2 linked regions of the Drosophila melanogaster genome follow. The protein of the gene in region 1 interacts with the protein of each later gene in a pairwise test. Each region holds a gene or a part of one and is shown in the gene's direction. Other genes may lie near its edges.

Region 1 (3,295 bases):
TGCTCATCCAACTCCTTGACTATTCGGGGCTGTAAGGAAAGGGAATCTCTTAGCAATGTTATTGGGCTAGCTCCAAACCATGAATCCCATACGAGTGCATACAAATCAAATCCGATCCCAGGTCCAGCTGGATTTTTGGACTCTACTCGTATAGGGTCGGTCAGTACATAATGAATTTGTGAACCTGTAATTGCGTTTCCCAACGGCGGACAATCAGCTGCTCCGTGCCGGGATCGACGGCACAGACCATATAGCGATATTCCGTGTCACAGTGACGCGGAATATAGATCTCTCCTGTCCACAGATTACTATACTCATTGTCCTCCTCATTTTTGGACAAAATAGCCGCTCCCGAGTGCTGCCAGTTGCCCAGCGCCTCGCAATTACCCACTATGGCCAACTGCTCGTTGGGCGCCAGATCCTGGTTCATCAGCACCCGAAAGGTCCACAGTCTGTTGGTGGTAATGTCGCCAAAGATCCGGCGGGACTCCAATCGACTGCCGTTTTCCGAGGACGCAGGACAGGATGATGGCGCAGCCATCGCATCCTCATCGCCGTTATGTGAGGCCAGCCAGTTGTGCATTCTGTGGGGATGGATAATAATTAATATCTATATATAATCCTTAGCTATATACACTTTGAATAATAGTAGTTAGCAGCAAAGAACTAAACTAATTGTTGAAACTCAGTATAATTGTATTGTATTGCATGCGCACAAGTAATTTATGCCAACTCTCTCTTTTTTTCGAGTACTACTGTGCTCGTTAGCGTATACGCACTGTACTTCAATTATTTTCAGCTGCGGTCACAAGTTGTTTATTGTATCGAGCGCAAGTAATTCGAAGATATTAACACAACATTAATTTCACTTGCAGTCCGCAATTGTTTTTGGTTTCCCTTATCAGTGGATGACGTAAATAAATAACTTGTATCACTTACTTTGCGTTGTTGTGTGCTGAAATAGAAGAATAAGCCGAAATCGCTTTGTTTGGATTCGATTTCTCGCTCTCCTCCACTTTCTCTCTCTTTGATTTTCCTAGATTTTCTGTGATTTTCCTACGCGTACACGAAACTATAACAAACGTGTGCAAATTGAGGAGTCGCCCGATTTTTTGATCATAGCAGCTGTTTTTGGTTTTTGCTCACGGATTTCAGCTAACAACACATGATGTTTTTCTCTTTTCGTGGCGGGGGGGCTTAACTCTATAATGTGGATATAACTTTATATTATCTGAACGATTTCAGCGCCGCAGGGGCTTCCGATCCCCTTGAAACTGTGAGTTGCATTATTTTGTTATCTATATATCCACTGACCGATTCTAGCGAGGGATGTGAAAAGTATTTGAATGTCAAGATATCGATAGGTTTTTGATGAAGTAAATATTTTCACAATGCTAAATGCCTAAAGCACTTAAAAATAGTAGATGCCTTTTTAGATATATACTACATACTACTTACTTACACGCACTTAAAATACAAGTTTTATATTTGATATTTGAGCGCATTCTCACAGGTTGGCAACGCGAACAGCTGATTTTTAGGGTGACCGTCTTCCGCAACAGAGTATCTCACAGTTTTCGAAAAGTATCTCAGCAATTTAGGCAAAGTTTCTGAACTTTCAGTTACTACTTAATAAAAAGTTTGTTGGTTGTTTACCTAGCTCAAGAGATTCTTTCAGATTTAATTTAATAAAACCGGTAGCTTAGGATTATAAAATTAACTTTGACTTTATTTAATGTCCCTCCCGCGCGAATGCAGCTTAGTAAAAATGAGTCATAGTGTTCAGATCTGCCTACATTCCAGAAGCTTGCAGTATTCAGTAGACATCAGTCGAGCGCAGAAGCTCTTCGTGATAAGACGTCTTCAATTCAAATTTTTTTTATCGAACACACCATGGAGGGGGACAAGGTAGTTTTTCATAGTTCTGATCTACCATACGAATATTTATACGACGACGAAAAACACGTTTCGCACATGCCGGATTCCAAATTAAGTGTACGAAATATTTTGGATTCAGCTTACGCTTCTGCTGAAGGCAAAATTATAACTAGGAAACTTTCGCGCAGCATTCCGCCGTATCCGCATGCTGTTCGAGTAAAAAATGGCATTCGTGTTTATGAATACAGTGAGCCCAGAAAACAGAGCTACAAATCAAGTTTATGGAAGGAGGCCTACAATGTGAGTAGGAATCGAAGAACACATGCTGGACATTTTACTTGCTTTATTTCAGATACTCCACCAGCGGTTGGATATTGCCGAGCCAATCGCAGCAAAGGAACACGTGAGAACGCAGATACATCCGTGTCTGCACAAGATCAAAGGACTTCTAGATCCGGAAACCTGCATCAAGTGTCCGCGGTGTCATAAGTCCATTTCGTCCACCAAAGTTGTGAAAAGCTTTGCATAGTGACGAATGCAAGCCACCTTCAACATATATATCTATTATAGAGGTTCAATATATGCTCAAATCAACACATGCATTTATATATATATATAATATAAACAAAGAATGCAACAGCCCTACAGATGAATCGTCATTTTCTTCTGTCATTTTGCTAGCTGTAATTAAAAGGGAACGGGAAATGTGCTCTCGCTTACTGATTATAGATAATGACTTTGATTTTGAAATAAGGAATGCAAAGAATACTCATTTTCGTATTCACTTCCATTTTGGCGGACTTTCTTTATCAGTAAACAAAGTGGAAGAAGAAGAAACGAGAAAGGTAAACAAGTCAATACAAAACAGTTGTTTGGAAAATGTGCCATAGTTACCAAGTGCCTGCACCAATTTTAATATCAAAACCAATTATTGAAACTAGTTATATAAGTATTTTTATTTACATTCAATGCATTTATAAATAAAATAAATCAAATAATTTAAGCTTACTAAATCAATCAGCTTGTGACAGCCATCACTTTGATAACGATAGTTGGCAACTCTGCCATCGAACAGCTGTTAATGTTTGCCATTTTGGCGCGAAAATACCAGTGTAACAATTTGTTTATATATAATAGGATTTTATTAAGTTGTTTGTTGGACGCTCGTTTGAAACCAGTATGGATCAGTATCCGGACGAAAACGAGGAGTTCGAGCTGCAATACCAAGACGAACTAGAGCTGCTGGAGGACTTGCCGGACGAGTTTAACGCGTACGATGGACCGAGCACATCCAAACAGGCCGCTGAAAAGCAAAAGGAAAACAGAGCTCCCGTTGCGGCACTAAGAGATAGCACCCGTCTTGGAAACTCTACACTGGGATCGCCACAGCTGTCGCAGATTACCTTTGGAGCTAGCC
Region 2 (8,033 bases), on another chromosome or scaffold:
AATCTTGGCAGTCGCCCTGTATTGGGTGGGAACTTTTATGGAATGCGGTTTTTTACTCATTGTCGTCACGTGCACGTGTATGTGTTGTTTGCGCTAGAATAGGTGCAACCCCAATCACGACTTTATCGATATATGCTTATCGAATGTCAGGGCTGGAGATAAGCATGTGGCGTTTGAAACAAATCATATTGTTATTCATGTTTTGAAAATATCTACAATTAATGTAAAGGTTGTTCTAATTTTGCCAACGATAACTACAAAACATATATGTTCTATCCAATATATTTACATACAGGGTATCAAATTTACAAATAAATTGGCAGTGTGGCCATACGTTGCGAGCAAAAATTACTGTACTTCAAGCATTGCCAACACAAGAATATTTTCATGGTTAAAAATTTTGGCGCGATAAAGCCGCAGTTTAAAATGTCAAAGTGTGCGCGTTCTTGGAGGTTTACCAAAATTTAGAATCATGCTTTTATTTATCGTGCATAAGTTGGTAAATTGGAATTAAATCAAGTTTTTTCCAATTTGTTTCTGGTGTGTCGTTTGTTTTGGGGTCTGTACGGCTGCTTTAATTAAAAAATATTAAAATGAAGCACGCTATTCTTTAAGGACTTTAAGGAAACGTACCTTTCTATGTTTGCCCAGGAGTTGATAGACGATATCAAGGCTGAGGATCGCATCCTACAATGTCCTTGGTGCGAAGAACAGACGTTGAGTCCATCAGCCAGCACCCGGAAACTTTTGTATTGGCTTTTAACGCTTTCAATTCGACTTTCAGAAAAGAGTCTCCTCGAAAATCACGACTGATATCCATGTAAATGAATCGGTAGATACTTGCACTTTCTTTTTAGTTATTAAAACTGACACACTGTCACTTTGCAGGTTTTAACCGCTGGCGGAAATGAAGAAGGAATCCGGGAATATTCATTTCAGTCCATTGTGGTGCACAGCGGAACTCCCCTCAGGAACAATCTTAGCCCACTAAACATCAATAAACTACTAAAATAACTTTGACTGCTGCTTAATTTCAAATATACATAAATTAATATTTTTTATTTTTAAGTTAAATTTTTTAATTCTTTTGGAGGCTCAAATTTTATATTTGGCGCAGCACTTTAATGTAGAAAATGTGAATAAAGAAATATTTCAAGGGTAAACAACAAAAAATGTTTTGATTTTGTAAAAAAAAAAACCTTAAAAATTATGAGGAGTTATAAAATAATTATCAGTTTCCGGAACTTTAAAATTCTTATCTTCAATTTGATCTTCAAGACATATTTTTCTTATAATAATATTATCAATAATATTATATAATATGTAACGGATATTTAAGTTCTTCATTTTCTTTTTCAGAAGTATTAACAAATGCATATATATAAATACATATATATTTATACAATAGAATCGCATAGGCATGAATTCAGCGCGCAAAATAATATAATTACAATAACATTGATATTATATAATAGATTATAATAATATACATATGTAAGTGTAAGTTATAAAATGGTAACAAAGTTCAACAGCTCATAGGCGAAGATCCAGTGGCACGGAATTTTCAATACAGCCAGGAGAACATCCTAATATTTTGGATAAACTCTTTGTGCCACTGTTCCGGGTGATGTGCATCATGTCCAGCACGGAGGACCTTATGTACCACTATTGCTGTTTCCTAGATTAGGATTCGCTAAAAGCTTAAATTGTAATTTCAGATTCCCAAAAATAGAAAATACCGCCAAAAGTCAGGGCAATGGCACTGCAGAAAGGATGCAGGATATTATATGTTCTTTTTGTTTTTCTCTCCCCAGAATTTGGCCCAATTAAATTTGGTATTCGAAAAAAAGAGCACGCCTCCTCCCCGAAACCGAAAAAAAACTCTGTGGCGCCGGGAACAAAAAAGAGCGCGAGAGAGTGAGAGCGCACACATAAAAAACATAAACAAGCCTTTTTCACTAGTGTGCGTTTGTGCGGAGAGAGAAGAGAGCGAAAAACAACTTCTGAAAAAAGACGCTCTTCGCTGTGATTTTTTTTCAGTCAGTTTTTCGACGGTCGTGAACACGAACAGTTATTCTAGCTCCTCCTGTTCTGCTGCTTCTGTTGGTGTTTTTTTGCGTTTGCCGCGACGTAAACAACCGAAGAGCGGAGCTTACGCCCCCAACTGCTCCAGCTCCACGCCCCCCTCGCAACGTGTTCGTTGTAAATGCAATTAATCGTTGTTGGTCGCTGAAAAAACTAATATTTCGGGAGTCCGATACAAGAAGGGCAAAAAAGCACAAGTGCAGAAAAAGCAAAAAAAAACATAAGCTTGCCGTGTGTGTGCGTTGGTGTGTGTGTGTATTTTTGGCGTGCGCGGCCATTTTTTCTTGTTGCCACTCGAGAGTCTCTTCTGTGTGCGAAAGAGAGGCCCGACGGCAAAGCAGAACGTAGCAAACTACGCAAATCCCCACTAAATTCGCTAATTTTCGCTAAATAAATCAATCGCAAGGGGTGCCCAAAAACAAACAAAAGTACGAAAATAGAGTGCCGCAGACCACAAACAAATCACCTGCGCCAGTGTGTGTGAGTGTGTCAGTGTGCGAAACAGGCAAGCTCCCAGGCGGGCTCCCACCCACAATCAGTCGGCGAACACGTGCTCCAAAATATCAACAAAAGTTGGCCCACAAACATAAAAAAGGGGGCCGCGACTGCATCCGAGACCCGAACGCCGGAACACAAAAGGCACTTTCAAATTGGTAAGTACTTTGCGCTGCACGAGCATGTTTTATTTATTTGCCTTATTGGTCAAACACACTTGCGATTGCGGTGTTTGTTTCTCTTTCCCGCGCTCACGCACAGTGGTCGCTTTTGTTATAATTGTGAGACTTGAAAACGATCGCCGTAAAATTCACATTTTTAACAAAATATTTACTGTTCGAAAGAGGGGTTTTTTGCGAATCGATGATTAGTTGACGTGTTATTATGAGAAAAACATAAAAGATTATAGGACATTATTTTTTTAAAAATGTTGCAAAAATGATTTAAAGTTTGCGATTTCCTTGTTAAATAACATGAAAGCGTTTACAGTTATTACTATTACAAAATTATAACGATTTAATATGCATATCCTTTATATATTAATTGCTACTTGAAAATTACCTAATGTAAAAACTTATATAAAGCAAATGAATTACAATTTATTTATTGGTTAGGACTCTATATCCTATTTTATAAAAAAAAAATAATAGCACAATTTCCAAAGTGTTTGTCCAGTGTTCCATTGGTCAAATACTTATTGTTTCCTTATTTCCGAATCTTCGCTATTTGGGGAATAAGTCAAAACCTTTAAACTCCAAACATTTGTAAGCCGAATGCGACTGTCAACAAATAATTAAACCAGAATAATTTCAAAAGCGTTTTGCAGTCGTGCCGCACTACTTGACCATTCCGTTTAGTCGCTTGTTTGACTTTTTATGCTCGTTCCCATTCATTTGGTGGCGGTTTTTTTTTCATTTGTGTTTGTGTGTCGATGTCTTTTTATCTTCCACTTTTTTCGTACTCATCAAATATTCGCTTCTTTTTTCGCACACATGTCGCCCCCAACAAAAGAGAGTGAGAGAGCAGTCCGATTGCGGTTGTTGCGCTGTTGTTGTTGTTCGCTCGCTCGTTCGTTTGTTTATGCTCGCTCTTTGCTCTCTTTTGTTTTCAGCTGCTCGCGCTCAATTAATTTTCGTTGATTCGTTTTTTGTGTGTAGGTTTTTTGTGTATACCATTTTATTTATACGCTTTTTGGGCTTCTCTTTCTCGTGTTTTTCTTTTTTGGGGTTTTCTTCTTTTTTTTTTTGTTGTATTTTTGGGGACTGACCGATTGCGTTTATTTATCCCCAATTTCCCCATTTGCATTCATTATGTTGAGCGGTCAATTTCCCGTGTTTCTGGATCTGTTGTTACACGGTTGCGATTACGATTCCGGCTTCTGTTTTATATTGCTCGCCACTTTCGCTTATTTCATATTACAATTGTTTGTTCGGCAAACAATTGTTTGCTTGTCGCCCCGTCTCGCTCTAAATGTGCGCAACAAGCGAGTGGCGCGTCCTTTTATTTTCTGCATTACATGGCCGCCCTCCCCCTCCCCATCTTTACACAGAATTCCTGCTACCATGCTGTTCAATTGTCCAACGTCAGCATTAACAACAACAACAACAAAGGCAGAACCGGTTATTTTGACCAGGCAAAACCAAAAAAAAAAAAGCCAAAAATTGAATTTACCTCTGACGTCAACACCCACCCGACCAAAAGGTCGTATTCAAATTCGCGCTCAGAATACAGTTTCCATTTCACAAGACCTGATTTTGCGATTTATATGCAACTATTTACTTATAATGCGTTATGCACATAAACCAATGTTGTTTAAATTAATTATGGAATACTTGGACATTTTTACAGACATAAATACATGAGTTTGAAAACCTTATTTCGTATCAAAAGTCACGTGTTTTATGCACATTATAAATATTTCGGAGACTTAAAATTAGTTAGTTAAAAGCCAAAACTGAATCCCAATTCGCATAATAATACCGACATTTTCTAGTGAAGATAAAAGCTATGATTAAAGATTTGAGTAATGACTTTTGCCTGTTTATTTGTAATGATACTATAGTTATTTGTATTTGTCAAATTTCAAATTATTCGTATGTTTGCATGAATGCACTAATATTTTATAAATATTTTTAAAACAACGCATTTAATGTTTTTAATTGAGCAATAATTGCGACGCATTGTTATTCAGCGAATTATCAATTATTCATCCCAGCTGAAATATTTAAACGCCCTTAAAAACTTTAAGTTTCATTACATTTTATCGCAACGTATTCTTTTCAAATACGCTTCCGTTTTGATTTAACGAGCAACAACTTCTGAAATAGATAATATATTCTAAGAAAATTGACCATTTTGGCGTAATTTAAAGTAAGATATTATTAATTCTTTTTAACTTTGACTTAATATAAGTTTGGAACACATTCTTTTCATGTGTTTTTTACTGTTGCATGGAAATCCCACATTTTAAGTAATTCATTTGGGATTTACAGACCAAGAACATCAGTGGTCCATTGGAAACCCGGCTGCATCGCCCTAAAAAGTGGCAGAGATGTAGTTGCATTCAGTTCTCGAGGTTGTTGACACGTTCCGTTGGCGCCCCTGACGTTTTTTGCCTTTTTTGCTTTTTTTTTTTTTTTTGCCTGCCCATCGTCACCTGGCCACAGAGTAATCGCGATTTTGGTTCTTCGGGCCAGAATGCGATTCCATTTCGCTTTCCATCTGGTGGTTGTCACCAACAATTTCTGGCCGCAAGCGCCTTTTTTGTTTATCTTGTGATTTTTTCCGTTGACTAACTCTTTTTTGCCCGGCATTGTTATTAATTCTCTGCGCTTTTTGCGCCCCATTGGCAACTTTTTACTGGGTTGCAACAGTTGTGCTTTCAGTCAGTACCTTCTGCGCGCAGCACGTTTAATTCACAAACAATTAATTAATTCATGCATATTTATGTTAATGTGCAGAAATTAATGTACCCAACGGCGGGGAGTGGAGCGGCCAAGTGGCAGAATCGAAAAGTAGTTTAAGCACTTGTGCCGACTGGGCACAAATTTGTGGATTCAAGAATTACAATATTTCTGTACTTTCAGCACAAAAACGCGCCGAGTTGTGTAAGCCCGCCGCCAGTGAAGTGTCGACTTCCCGGCGACGAAGACCGCAGCAATATTTCCACTAGCCAGTAACGCACAGGCTCGTTCCGCCGCTGACGACGACCCCAAACTGGACGCCCGCACCATCGCCTACCGCCCGCTGACCCTTGGCGGCCACCAGACGCCGCTTATGGCCGAACTGCCGACGGCGCCGAACGGCGTCCCCAGCGGCGATTATCTGCACCGCTCCATCGATCAGCTGCGTTCGCTGGGTCATCTGACCACCGCCCAATTGGTTCACGACTACAAGCCCTTCAACATTAGCGAATTCCGGCAGAATGTCGCTGAGCGACTGGACTACTCGCTGAAGAACGGCCTGGTGCAGCACCAACAGCAAATGGTCATGGAGCAGCAGCCACATCCCGATCAGCAGCAGCAGCAGCATCTGCATCACCCGCAACAGCAGCAGCACCCGCCGCAGCTGAAGGTCAGCTACAGTGCGCCCAACTCGCCGCCCACTCCACACGAGCAGCAGGAACAGAAGGTAATCACTTATTTCAATATTGAAAAAATATATCATACGCATATAAATGTTACTGATATGATACTTAAATTGCGATCTTAATATTTCTTCGGTCAAAGATTATATGACTTTGCTTTAGTAACCCATTCATCGTGTACTTAATACTAAACGATACCCTTAAAACGTTCTATCTACTTCCAGTACGACCCGAATCGATCGCCGCCGCGTCAGCAGATGAGCAGCGCTAGCGGCAGTGGCAGCAACGGCTCCTCGCCTGAGGAGGAAAGCCGACGGGGAGACGGTGATCAGGCCAAGCCCTACAAGTGTGGCTCGTGCAGCAAGTCCTTTGCCAACTCCTCGTACCTGTCGCAGCACACGCGTATCCACCTGGGGATCAAGCCGTACCGCTGCGAGATATGTCAGCGCAAGTTCACGCAATTGTCGCATCTCCAGCAGCACATCCGTACGCACACGGGTGACAAACCGTACAAATGCCGGCACGCCGGCTGCCCGAAGGCCTTCTCGCAGCTATCCAATCTGCAGTCACACTCGCGTTGTCATCAGACGGACAAGCCGTTCAAGTGCAACTCCTGCTACAAGTGCTTCAGCGACGAGATGACCCTGCTGGAGCACATTCCCAAGCACAAGGACTCCAAGCACCTGAAGACGCACATCTGCAATTTGTGTGGCAAATCGTACACGCAAGAGACCTACCTTCAGAAACATCTGCAGAAGCACGCAGAGAAGGCGGAGAAGCAGCAGCATCGCCACACGGCCCAGGTGGCTGCCCACCAGCAGCACGTACCGGCGAGCGGCATCGGCTTGAATTTGCAGCGCCAGGCCATGAACGATGTGAATGCCGCATATTGGGCCAAAATGGGCGCAGACAGTGCGGCGGCTTCGCTGGCGGAAGCCATTCAGCAGCAGTTGCCGCAGGCCGGCGGTCAGCCGTATGGCAACTTTGCATCCCTGCAGCAGCAGCATCAGCAACAGCAGCAGGAACTGCTGCATCATCAGCGATTGGCAGACACGCCGGGGCATTCGCATAGTCCTCACGAGGAGGCCGCGGGCGAGGATCTCGTCCTGCGCCAGTCAACACCACAACATCACCTTCAGCAACAACAGCAGCAGCAGCAACAGCAGCAGGCCCAGCAGCAACAACAAGCGCAGCACCAGCCATCGCCTGGACCGGGAAACTCGGCCTTCACTCCACTGTCGGCGACAGTGGCTCCACCGCCACATCTTCAACAGCATCGCGGTCCGCCAGGATCCGCCGCTGCCTATCTGTATCAGCAGAATGCGGCGGCAGCAGCAGCGGCTTTTCCCACACAGCTCATCTCGCTTCACCAGATCCGAAACTATGCCCATCAGCCAGGAGCGGCGGGTCTCATCGCTGGCGATCATCTCGCCTTGGGCCTGAGCGCTGTTAATGCCGCCAAAGAAAAGGCGCAATAGTACAGGCCGTCAGGTCGGGGCCAAAAGAGGCAGCAACGATGACATTAGCTTAGGATCAACGTTTAAGTTGGTATGGATACAAGAGCGTGGTATTTTATTCTCTTTGAATCCATACCAATTGAAACACTGAAAGTAAAATAAGTTACTCATAGTTTCCAGTTGGCAGTGGCATAGGAGCTGGGATTGTGACTGGTTTTTCTTAAGCATCCTTCCAACTTCCAAATTCATCATGAAACTTGTATACGATTCGGCCAAAATCAACTCCATCACTGCCCAAAACCAATAAGAAAATCAACTGCAATCCTACAGTTTCTGTGCTATTTTCAACTGCCATATGAAAGTAATATGTAATATCTAGATCAACTCAGGATTTTAAATACGATAATTAT

The links.
Region 2: the proteins of CG31955 (region 1) and sqz interact in a two-hybrid assay, tested with the Drosophila melanogaster proteins (one large-scale study listed by BioGRID).

Annotation. Positions count from the first base shown.
Region 1 is NT_033779.5:3,711,381-3,714,675, reverse strand, and holds CG31955 (uncharacterized protein), read left to right. Parts: upstream 1-1,809; 5' UTR 1,810-1,893; coding exon 1,894-2,178; intron 2,179-2,230; coding exon 2,231-2,407; 3' UTR 2,408-2,450; exon of another isoform or gene 2,451-2,522; intron 2,523-2,607; 3' UTR 2,608-2,795; downstream 2,796-3,295. Other genes in the region: CG2818 (uncharacterized protein), read right to left, coding at 1-29, 185-583; cutlet, read left to right, coding at 3,058-3,295.
Region 2 is NT_033777.3:19,162,179-19,170,211, forward strand, and holds the start of sqz (squeeze), read left to right. Parts: upstream 1-2,032; 5' UTR 2,033-2,738; intron 2,739-5,666; 5' UTR 5,667-5,856; coding exon 5,857-6,210; intron 6,211-6,390; coding exon 6,391-7,644; 3' UTR 7,645-8,033. Other genes in the region: Nsun5 (Nop2/Sun-like domain containing protein 5), read right to left, coding at 1-60. UniProt on the Drosophila melanogaster protein: Transcription factor involved in neuronal fate specification. First required in embryonic CNS development to define the number of cells that express apterous (ap) in the ap thoracic cluster of interneurons.